3 linked regions of the Tribolium castaneum genome follow. The protein of the gene in region 1 purifies or fractionates together with the protein of each later gene. This does not show direct contact. Links are inferred from orthologs where the notes say so. Each region holds a gene or a part of one and is shown on either strand. Other genes may lie near its edges.

Evidence for each region.
Region 2: the proteins of dnaJ homolog subfamily A member 2 (region 1) and EndoG purify together in Homo sapiens (affinity purification with mass spectrometry; 3 studies listed by BioGRID and IntAct, with this or other methods). This does not show direct contact. The link is inferred for Tribolium castaneum from reciprocal best matches to the Homo sapiens genes DNAJA2 and ENDOG.
Region 3: the proteins of dnaJ homolog subfamily A member 2 (region 1) and nudC purify together in Homo sapiens (affinity purification with mass spectrometry; 4 studies listed by BioGRID and IntAct, with this or other methods). This does not show direct contact. The link is inferred for Tribolium castaneum from reciprocal best matches to the Homo sapiens genes DNAJA2 and NUDC.

The regions. Positions count from the first base shown.
Region 1 is NC_087398.1:15,888,414-15,891,179, reverse strand, and holds the end of dnaJ homolog subfamily A member 2, read right to left. Parts: intron 1,456-2,766; coding exon 847-1,455; 3' UTR 517-846; downstream 1-516. UniProt on the Homo sapiens protein: Co-chaperone of Hsc70. Stimulates ATP hydrolysis and the folding of unfolded proteins mediated by HSPA1A/B (in vitro).
Region 2 is NC_087400.1:7,676,645-7,679,941, forward strand, and holds EndoG (endonuclease G, mitochondrial), read right to left. Parts: upstream 1,704-3,297; coding exon 1,303-1,703; intron 1,248-1,302; coding exon 1,011-1,247; intron 959-1,010; coding exon 778-958; intron 729-777; coding exon 633-728; 3' UTR 543-632; downstream 1-542. Other genes in the region: estradiol 17-beta-dehydrogenase 8, read left to right, coding at 1,843-1,882, 1,931-2,247, 2,300-2,609, 2,659-2,744. UniProt on the Homo sapiens protein: Endonuclease that preferentially catalyzes the cleavage of double-stranded 5-hydroxymethylcytosine (5hmC)-modified DNA.
Region 3 is NC_087398.1:987,676-992,082, reverse strand, and holds the start of nudC (nuclear migration protein nudC), read right to left. Parts: upstream 2,878-4,407; 5' UTR 2,770-2,877; coding exon 2,686-2,769; intron 2,636-2,685; coding exon 2,558-2,635; intron 2,511-2,557; coding exon 2,172-2,510; intron 2,165-2,171; exon of another isoform or gene 1,862-2,164; coding exon of another isoform or gene 1,836-1,861; intron 1,784-1,835; coding exon of another isoform or gene 1,447-1,783; intron 1,403-1,446; coding exon of another isoform or gene 1,301-1,402; intron 1-1,300. Other genes in the region: uncharacterized protein LOC656652, read left to right, coding at 1,301-1,402, 1,447-1,783, 1,836-1,861; mahj (protein mahjong), read left to right, coding at 3,346-3,458, 3,505-3,655, 3,707-3,844, 3,893-4,020, 4,067-4,242, 4,294-4,370. UniProt on the Homo sapiens protein: Plays a role in neurogenesis and neuronal migration. Necessary for correct formation of mitotic spindles and chromosome separation during mitosis. Necessary for cytokinesis and cell proliferation.

The sequences.
Region 1 (2,766 bases):
AATAGGAGCAGAAGAAAAAATATAATAAACAAAAATGAAAACACAATTGTGTTAAGACTTGTAGACTCTTACTTTATATCTTCCTTGATTGGAACACTCGTTTGTCGCAACAGCTTTCAACATCTACACTTAATGGTCTAAGTGCAAGGTGCTAATACAATCAGAAGATCAAACAAACTTACCAAGTGAAGTTCGATCTTGATTATATGTAGCACCTTGTACGAAGATCAGTCCCTCCCATCCCCGTGGTTTACCACTTCACCCTAAAGTTGCGACAATTGACTTTACAAAGAATGAGCGCATGCGTGGGAATATACCGGGAGTTATAAAAATTTTGTTTTACTGGCTTGATACATGTGTGAATTTGTCCAAATAGAAAGGGTACTACACTTAATGATCTTCGTACAAGGTGCTACATAATCATCAATAAATATTTTCACTTTACATGAGGAAAGCCGTAGCATTTACTAAGCAGCTAAGTTTTTACTTTATTTAAAAGGTATTACAGAGTAAATGTTTCTACAAAAACAAAGTTTTATTAAGAGAAGTTACATCTTTATTAACATTTTCCGTTAATACTCGTACATGTACAAATTTTAACAATCTGTACTTTGCAATGTAAATTTGTCCGTAAATGAATTAAATCAAAACCAGGCATTTTCTTTATTACAACAAACAATTTGATGTTTGGAAATAAAAGTGGCATTAATAATATTCTCTAAGAAGGTAAAAGAATAAATAAAAAATATACAATTAGGTACGACAAAAAATTAACGGATAGTATAATTGATCTACAGATATAAATCCTTATTTAGAAAGCTGCAGAGCAACACTGCGAAAATAGTTCTATTGATGTGCGCACTGTATGCCCGGTCCATGCATGTGATCCTCGTCGTCGCTCGCATACGCTTCCCCTCTGCTTCCATGCGCCCCCTTGTCATTCGCCGAATCGAAATGATGCAAGTCAACTTCTTCCACGTTTTCGCCTTCAGGCATTTGAAAGACGGGCCGCGGCGGCAGCATACTCTCTAATGATTTGAGGGTCTTCTCGTCTGCGAAATTACTCTCCGGGAATGTGATTTCGAAGGTGATATAGAGATTTCCCTTTTCGAAGGGATTTTTGTACATGGGCATACCTTCGCCCATCACTGCTTTCAAATCGCCTGGTTTCACAATGTCCCCTGGTGGGTGTTTGATTAACAAATCGCGCCCGTCCAACTGGCGCAACACGAAACTGAAGCCACAGAGAGCTTCCGTCAGACTAATGGTGCGATTCATGAGCAAATCGTCGCCGCTTCTTTGGAACGTTTCATGGGATTTCTCGTTAAGTATGATGATGACATCGCCGGGTTCGATGTCGGGCTGTTGGTCGCCCTCGCCACGGAAGAAGATTTTCTGACCGTCTTTCATTCCTTTGTCGATGTGGACCTCGAGGATTTTCGTCTCGTTACAAACCTGAGTAGAACAACAATTTAAAACGCCTTCAAATCAAAATTTTGGAGAATTACGAAAAGGTTACCTAAAATGGTATACTGTGGTAAAACAGGATACCCTAATTATTTTGTAGTACATGCAAAGCAATCTGTTGTGTAATTGACCTAATACTTCCTGACAGTATGAATTTGCAATTTGACCATCATTAGTGCAATACCGCAACGTGGATCTTTAAGTTTTTAACATATTTTTGTAAAAGTTTAGAATTAAAAACATAAGCTTTTTGTATTTAAGAACAATAAGATGACGGTGATAAGTTTTTTATCAGTTACTAAAACATAAACGGCCATTTAACGTTCGAAATTTGAAGTTTTTCTTATAAGAAAAATATGAAATTGTCATTTAATTCGTATTGAGAATAAAATAATAATGAAAATTTTACTGTTATTTGTTGATTCCAAGAGTTGACTCGAATACAACTACTTAAAAGATCTGATGTTTCTAATAAATTTAACCGTCTAAACCCGTACGCTCGGTATTTTAGTTGATGGTTAAAGTAAAAATATTCTGGTTACCAATTAATTTCCAGGTTTGGCGTATTTCAGTGTTTGGTTATGATTTACCCAAGGTTAAAATTTTTACCGAAGGAAACGTGTCGGGTTACCAATTTGTTTCAGGGTTAGTCAAACTGTAGCAACGAGAGTATTCGGAAATAAAATTAACTAGACGCCCTCTGGTGATGACTTTTGAACTATGTCGAAAACAGTAAAGAAATTTTCGTAATGCCACATTTAACTGACATTTAATGAATTGTTCAACAATTTTGCGTGTATAGTGTTAATTATTTACAATAGAAAGAATTATTTTAAAAGTACGTGGTGGTAAATACTAGCGTTGACTTTGGTTCTGTAGTTTTTCGTGGTATAAAGTGTTTACTGTTGGAACTTGAAAGTGGATAAAAAGTGAAAAATATTTAAATTTTGATTACAAAGTGTTATCAAACAGTTGTCTAATCAATGATTATTAGTAATGGATCACAGCGAACACAAAGTTTGGCTCAAGAAACCAATAAATTAGTGAAGTGTTACGAATTTTAGGTTAGAATTTTCCACTGAAAAAATCATGAAATGCTGCGGTAAATCTACAAAACTACAATAAAGATTAACAACTTCTGATACATTTAAACGTAAGTTATGCCAAAAGGTAGGCTTTTCAATGTCTTTGTAATAATTTTCCAATAAAGAAAGTGAACCAAACAGTCATTCGTTATTCGTGTTTTCCTCGTCATCTCTCATTTGTCAACATACGTTTCTTGCATCAAAGATGCAATAA
Region 2 (3,297 bases), on another chromosome or scaffold:
CTAATCTAACTTATTATTTAATATTTATTAACAATTTACTAGTTTTAAATAAATCTACTACAAACTGATGAAAACTAACAGTATTATAAGATTTATAAGCGAGTGAGAATGCAATCTGTAGGTACAAATATATTAAAATGTGGAGTCAAAAACTAAACTGCTCAAAAAAGCGAGAAAATTTTTGCTGGAAGACAAAACTGGTACAATTCAAAGTTTCATAGAAAATGCCTTTGATATTATTTTTCAGGCGGCTGCAGATTTTTTTTTTTTTAGTATATCATTTTTTGATCAGTTTGTTAGTTTGGCAACATGCAAAATTAACTAAAATCTGGACAATGTCGTTACGAGAAGAATATTACACTGATGTTAGGTGTTATGTGCCCAACAAAAATTTTGTTGGCCCACCTATGTGCCCACCCAAAAATTAGGAGCTAGTTCCGCCACTGCAACACTTCCTTCTGCATTATAATATTTATAATCCGCTATTTTTGGTGTATACGTTTCCAAGTTAAATAATCATGATTTGGAAAAAAACGCAAGAATCTATTATAAAATACTGTATTGGAACACATCATTCAACAAAAAATAAATATAACACGAGAAAAACACATTAAAACCTAGTCAAGCACTAATTAATTTTTTTTACCATTAATTTTACTAATCTTGCTCCTTGATATGTTGTCGAAAAATAAAAGTCCAGCCGCCTTTTCAATGCTTTCAGGGGGCACCTAAAACCCATAATTGACCCAAAATTCCTTAATCTAAAAATTTGCAAACCCTAAAACTCGTCAACGGGGTCTCATCACTGATAGCCTGATTGGGCATCACATAAGACTCCATTTCAAATTTTCCGTCACTAGTTTCACAAACCACGACTTTGAAAAAATGCGTCGGGACTGCAACATGATTTGCTCCAATCACTTCATACTTGACGTAATTTTTCCCGTCTGGTTCCCGCCTTTAACAAAAAATAACAATAATCAATTGAAAAAAAAAGAACAGGGCCGGACCTGGGCAAGTATAAAGGTCCAGTGCAGCAGTACACATTAGTGTAAGTCTTCGTCAGCTTCCTCACATATCTCTCCAATTTATTCCACGCGTCTCGATTAAACCCGACCCCCACTTGTGGGGCCATATTCGACAAATAAAAAGTCTGCTCGACCAGTTTTTGGCTGCATTTGTGGTTCCCGGCCGCCGCCAGGTGCCCCCGGTCGTACCCCGACTTCAAGTAATCCGAATTGAGCGACCTGCAACCCCCAAATGAGCCCCCTTCCAACACATTGAACAAACCCAACTCCTGACCTGAAATACGGATGTATGCTTTCGTCCGGCATAAATTGGCACAAAGACCGGTCCACGCCTTCGTTTGGCTTGATACTTTCGGCCGTAATGTGCTCGAAAACCCAGTGAGCCACCCTGTTTCGTTTATCATAACTTAAAACGTAATTATCGAAGGAACGGATATTGTCAAGACCCGGAAACCCGTATTTCATGATTTGCGAAATTCGACTAACATTGGTTTGGGACGGGACGGGTGAGACGGGGGTTGCGGCTGAGACAGTCCCGAAAATCGGAAGTCCCGGGAATTTTTTAAGGTTAGGTGGGTCTTGGGCAATTTTTCGCTCGTAATAACTACCAGCAAGGAAGGAACTTAGGCCGAAGGAGCTCACAAGGGCCAGGGTTTTGATTTTGTGCCCCGCCATCACGTATTTGTTAAAAAAATGCGATATAACGATTATTTTGAGGTTAGGTTCACGGTTACATAACCTCAGTTTTTGATATGTAAATAGTGATGATAAACACTTTTAATGTAGTGATAAGTGTGATAAGACTGTGTAAACAATGGCCGGGAGTTTGGCTGGGAAATTGGCTTTCGTAACAGGTAATTTTTGCAATTTTTTTCCTTTATTTTATTGTGAGGTTATGTAAGGGGCTGGGTCGGGCATTGGCCGGGCAACTTGCGGCATTTTGGCCCGTGAGGGGGCTTCCGTGGTCGCAGCTGACCGCAACTTGGCCAGTTGTAACGAAACTGTGACCAATATCGTACAAGGGGGCTCTCAGAGTCACATCTCGTTAGAGCTGGACGTGGGGGAGCAAAAAAGCATAGAAAGTGCCTTAAAATCGGTGCTCCAACAGTACAAAAAGCCACCTTCAATTATCGTAAATTCCGCTGGTATCACACGCGACGATTTTTTGGTCAAACTGACTGAAAATAATTTTGATGATGTGATCAGGATTAACTTAAAAGTAAAATATAACAAATCGCATTTTGCAAATAAATGTTAGACGAGGGTTTAAGGGCACGTTCATGGTCATTCAGACCTTCGCCAGGGCTATAATCGAGCAGGGGGTGCAAGGGGGCTCTATTGTGAACATTGCCAGTACTTCGGGCAAATATGGTAATCTGGGGCAGGCCAATTACAGTGCGAGTAAGGCCGGGGTTGAAGGTTTGACGAAAACAGCGGCTAAAGAATTTGGGAAATTTGGAATTCGGGTAAATTGTGTTTTACCAGGGATGATAGCGACGCCTATGACGGACGCAGTCCCTGAGAAAGTTAGGGAGAAGAGTCTTAAATTTATCCCTTTGGGCCGGTTTGGCAAACCTGAGGGTATTTTTGATGAAAAAAATTGATGTGGGATTATTTTTTTGGGTTTTAGAGGTGGGAGAAGTTATTGCATTTTTGGCCTCTGATAAAAGCTCATACGTTGATGGGGCCTCTGTTGACATCACTGGGGGAATTTAAAGGTGATTCGGGGGAATTCGGTGATATTTCTTGTTATTTGGATCATACACTTATATTTTTTTAATAAATGTGGAAGTTTTTTTCTTGTTTCTCTTGCCTTCCAATTCTAATCCTTACCTTAGTTTCTTATACTACAACTTGTTTTCCTGAATTTTATAAAAAACTTCAAGCTTCATCGCAATCATCACTACTTCAAAATGTAAGGCGATAGGTTTTAAGTCGAATTTATGATATTTGGCTAATAAGCACCCATTTTGTCAATTACACCAAAGCTATTAGACAAAACTGAAATGTTTTTAATTACTCGTATGTAAGATGATCTGCGGAGTCGATTGGCGATTGGACAATAGTTTTTAAATTATTAATGGAAATAGCTTTGTCATTTTTTTCATTTACGTATTCTTTCACTTCTAAAACCTCTAGAGGGTTCTAAATTCACAGGAAAGTGCATAAAACGTTGTTGAATCGAGTTTGAAAAGATTTTTCATATTTTCGAACTAACTAACTTCGTCTCAATTAAAATCCCTAAAAATTTTCGATCAACTTTAGATCA
Region 3 (4,407 bases), about 15 Mb from region 1:
TCAATAATTTTTTCGCCGTGCACGGCCGATTAAAATAAATGAGAAGTTTGTTGTGTAAACACGCATCCTCTTGTTTTCCCATTATTTAAAATAAGGTAAACAGACTGGCATTGACCCGAAAACACGATTAAAATTATAACTTTAAATGAAGATTTTTCAACAAAAAATCCAAGAGTCGCACCACCCCGGAAATTTTCACTCACATGTTTATGTAAGCAAATGAGGAAGTAGTAAAAATGAGCGAATATCACTCGAATTAATTCAGAGCCGAAATGCTCGCTCTAATAATTTCACCAAACCCGGGAGAAAGGATGATTATAAATATTGTTGGTGATAATGATTCGTTTCGTGCATAGTAACTATTCAATAAATTAGAATATCTAGATTGTCTACTGAGATGTGCAGTGGAGGTCGCCTTCGAACGCAGTTAATTGATGTTGATTAATACCGCACTCATTAATCGCTTGCAATTTACATAAACCTATAAAGTTTAGGTCGCTAAACCTTCACTTGAAACTTTGTAATTTATCTTCCAATTGTTTCGTCCGAATTGTACCCTTGAACGTTTCAATATTCTTCCGACTACCAAAAAGCACCAAGCACGCGTCTCTGTTTGAATTAAGTGATTAAAACATGATGCAACAAGAAAATCCACAAATGTCGTCACTTGCAATGAGCAGAATCCGGAATGTGTCAAAACAAATATTAATGGTTTGAAGCAAGGACGGTTCGATTGTGAGAAGACGTAAATAAAAACATCGCCGAATTCCAGGAGAGAGGTTACAGTCATTATCGCCTGAAAATCATCGGAAGAATACCGAGAAAAAGGCCACTAGTGAAAAATTAGACTACAAACGGCGGCCGTGACCGAGATAAAAATGTATTAGCGTGTTTCACTGATTACTTGTCAATCTTCCCAGCTTTTATTAAGCGGGTGATTAAATTCAATGCTACCGAATCAAACAATAAAATGCCACAATGTGTATTTTTACCAACAAAGCCAATTATTACAAAATGTCATACAAACACGATCTATAAAATAAAAATGAGCGTCACGTTCGGCGCTCAATGAAAAAAACACGGGCTTAATAAGGAAATTGTACATTGATTAATAAAAAACGAGGCCGAAATCAGAATTAACATAAATTAATCCGAAATTTTTATGAACGGTACGAGAATGTACCGATTTCGTTTTGACACCTGCTTACCGTCTTGCATAATGCGATGAATTAACAATAAATACGCGACCTTCGATATTAAATAACCACTTACTTTATTACATTAATATTGATTTTTGCAGACTCCGGCAGAGCTCAACAAGAGCTGGCACATCCCCAGACCCACACTAGCTAGAAGCTCAAAGAGTTCGCAGGGTTCGACGTCTAGCAATAATAGCACACAGGTACAAATAAAAAAATTAAGACAAGAAAATCATTGGATTTTTAGAGTGCAAGGTCCGGTTCGTTACTACTGACAGCAGCAAATCTGGCCCAAATACAAAATCCGGACACGGACAAAAACACCAGACAACAAAACATTCAGTATTACCTCGAACAAACAAACAACAATGATCACATAGCACTGCCTGTTAACGATTTGAAGAAACCAGACCCAGATGCTGTTTCAGTGGCAAGTTCGATGCATTTTACCGTAGTTAATATGAACACGAGACCTGTGGTCAGGCAAAGAAGTTTCTGTCGAAAACACCAATTGACGATTCTAGTTTTGACGATGTCCGCTTTGTTTACCATAGGGATCTTGGCGGCGATATTTCTCTTAGAAAGTAAGTTCTTCCGCTTTCATTTCAGCCAATTTCCAATTTTTTATTGTTTCAGTGAGGGCGAAAAGACAACGGTACTAGGATTAGGACAAGCATCGACATTTCTCCAAAAATTGACGAAGCATTGAAATGTCGTGCGCACTTATCGTAGTTAGTTATTTAATTCCCTATTTAATTAGGTTTAGCAACTGGACCAAAATTGTGGTTGTTCTAAATCATAAGCTATCCATAAGTATTTTTTGATGTTACTGTGATATGTAAAAGCAATCATTACAGCATTGTATAGTATTTATGAACAATTTTAAGGCAGGTCCCGAACCTCCTTGGAAATCTTGTAAATTGATTTTTAATTAAATTATACAAATAAATTTTCTACAAAACTAAGACTTACCTCAACGTCTTGGAGAGTCTGCGTCCACCTGTACTTGTCCAAATCACATCCATTGCCACTGTTTGGCTTCAATTTCCCAATCTCTGAGGCATCCTCATCCTCTTCAATTTTCTCAACAGCTGGGGCCCCATTACTCACCCCACTTTTCTTAGCATCTAACTCGGCTTGCAACTTTTCAGCCTCAGCATCAGTCAATTCGGTGATTTCCGCCGGTTTTACCTTCTCCTCTTCTTGCTGTTTCTTCTTTTTGGCGGCTTCACGTTCCCGACGCTCTTTTAACTCCGTCTCGTGTTTCTTACGACTAACTTGTTCGTATTTCCTAAATGTGCTCATTACTAACTAAAAACCAGGTCATTATTTTTCGAACTGGCTTTACCCCGGACTACCTTTTCCCATGCTCCTTCCTCGCCCCCGGTGAAAAAATCCGTCTTGCGGCTTAGAAAACTCACAAAAGTGTCCAATAACTACAGTTTTGTCGTGATTTTAAGGTTAGAGTAAACAGATCGAGGCTCACCTGCGAAGCGCCGTGCGGATGGTGCTGGGCTATTGACAGGAAGAGGGAATCGAATTGCTCAGTCTGATTATCATCGCCACTCATCTTGACTGGACTTTTTTCGTGAAAAAATGGTCAAAAATCGTGGAAATTGCTAGACTTTTCTTCTATCGACCAAATATCAATTGTACCAACCAAACCAATCGGCGTGAAAACTTCCAAAAACGGTGCTTGTACCAACATTGATGGGTCAACCGAATGTGGGAATTTTAGCCAAACGGGGACCACCCTCAAATTAAAATTAAAACATGCAAAGGGGGTGTATATTTCGATAGTGCGAAGCTTATTTCCTATTCGTTAAATTTCCCAAGGGTTTATTTTAGCTCTGTTTTTTTTTTGTACCATTGGCGGCACTTTTTTAGTAACATACGTGCTCGATTTTTCAATGGAAGCCAAGAATTGTGTTTTGCGCTTTGTGAATGTGTATTGCGCCAATTTGTGAAATAATCAAACTGATTACGATTTTTTACAAGCCAGAAGTGTAGAGTTCACATTATCGCATTGTTTTTGCCAGTCTCCCGGTGTCCTAATTATCTCACCTTGCAATTACGGAACTGTAAAGTATTTTAGGTTATGTTAAACTACCTCATGCCCTTTATTTTATAACGTTTTGAGCCAATAATGTCGGAAAACAGCAATTCGACTTCTGTTATGTCAGAAGTCACAACTCTGATAAGAAACTGGGAAGATGAACATACGGCGCCTAATTATGACCCCATTCAGACACTCACCAGGTAGATCTTGCCTTAATTTGGCAAATTCTTACCCTTTTGTTGGCAGATTGGCCGAAATATGCGAGGTGGAGACTGAAAATTACCTGAAAATGGATCCTGACCCATTTGATGAACGCCACCCTTCACGAACTGATCCTGACTGCAAACTTGGCCAAATTTTAAAAGCGCTTTTTAGGAAGGATATTTTTATGAACAAAGTATTAACTCTCCACAAAAACATAAAAAGACACACATAAATATTTTTTCAGCTTGTTAACGATTATTTGAGAGAAACGTACTACTCTCGGTCAGGAATCACAGACAAGGATGTTGATCAGTTGAATATTGCAGCTTGTAGGTTGATGCTAGACGTAATGCCTGGCTTAGAGACATCAGTGGTGTTTCAAGTACGTGTCAATTATTTTTTTGGGGGGAAAACTAACGACTAGTTTCAGCCCGATATGGATAATTTGATTCACCGTTTAATTAAATGGACTACAAATTCAATAGAACCTCTGCAAAGTTACGCAACGGGGCTTTTAGCTGCTGCAATGGAAATTCCAGAAATTGCCACACGTTTTAGGTAAGTTTCCGCTTTGGTCTTATCGCAGTTAATTACCAAAAAATAGGGAACAAAACGGACGACTTGTGCCTTTACTACTTCAAAGACTGCGTAGGCTTCAAAATTCCTCGGAATTTTTGACCACGACAAATACTCGACCTTTTGCACACTTATCTTCAATGAAGTCGCCCCCTTATCGCGGTGACGGTGTCGTAAAAGTTTCACCCTCTGGTATTAAAAGGCGTACGTAACGACACCCTATTGTATTTTACCCTTCAATAATTATTCTTACAGCCCGCGAGAATGGAGTTATTCCAAATTCGAAAACAACACTTAATAAAGAAAACACTGATGTGATTAACACTAGTGAGGTAAGCGCGCCTTTTCCTCCTCGTGATATGGTCTCAC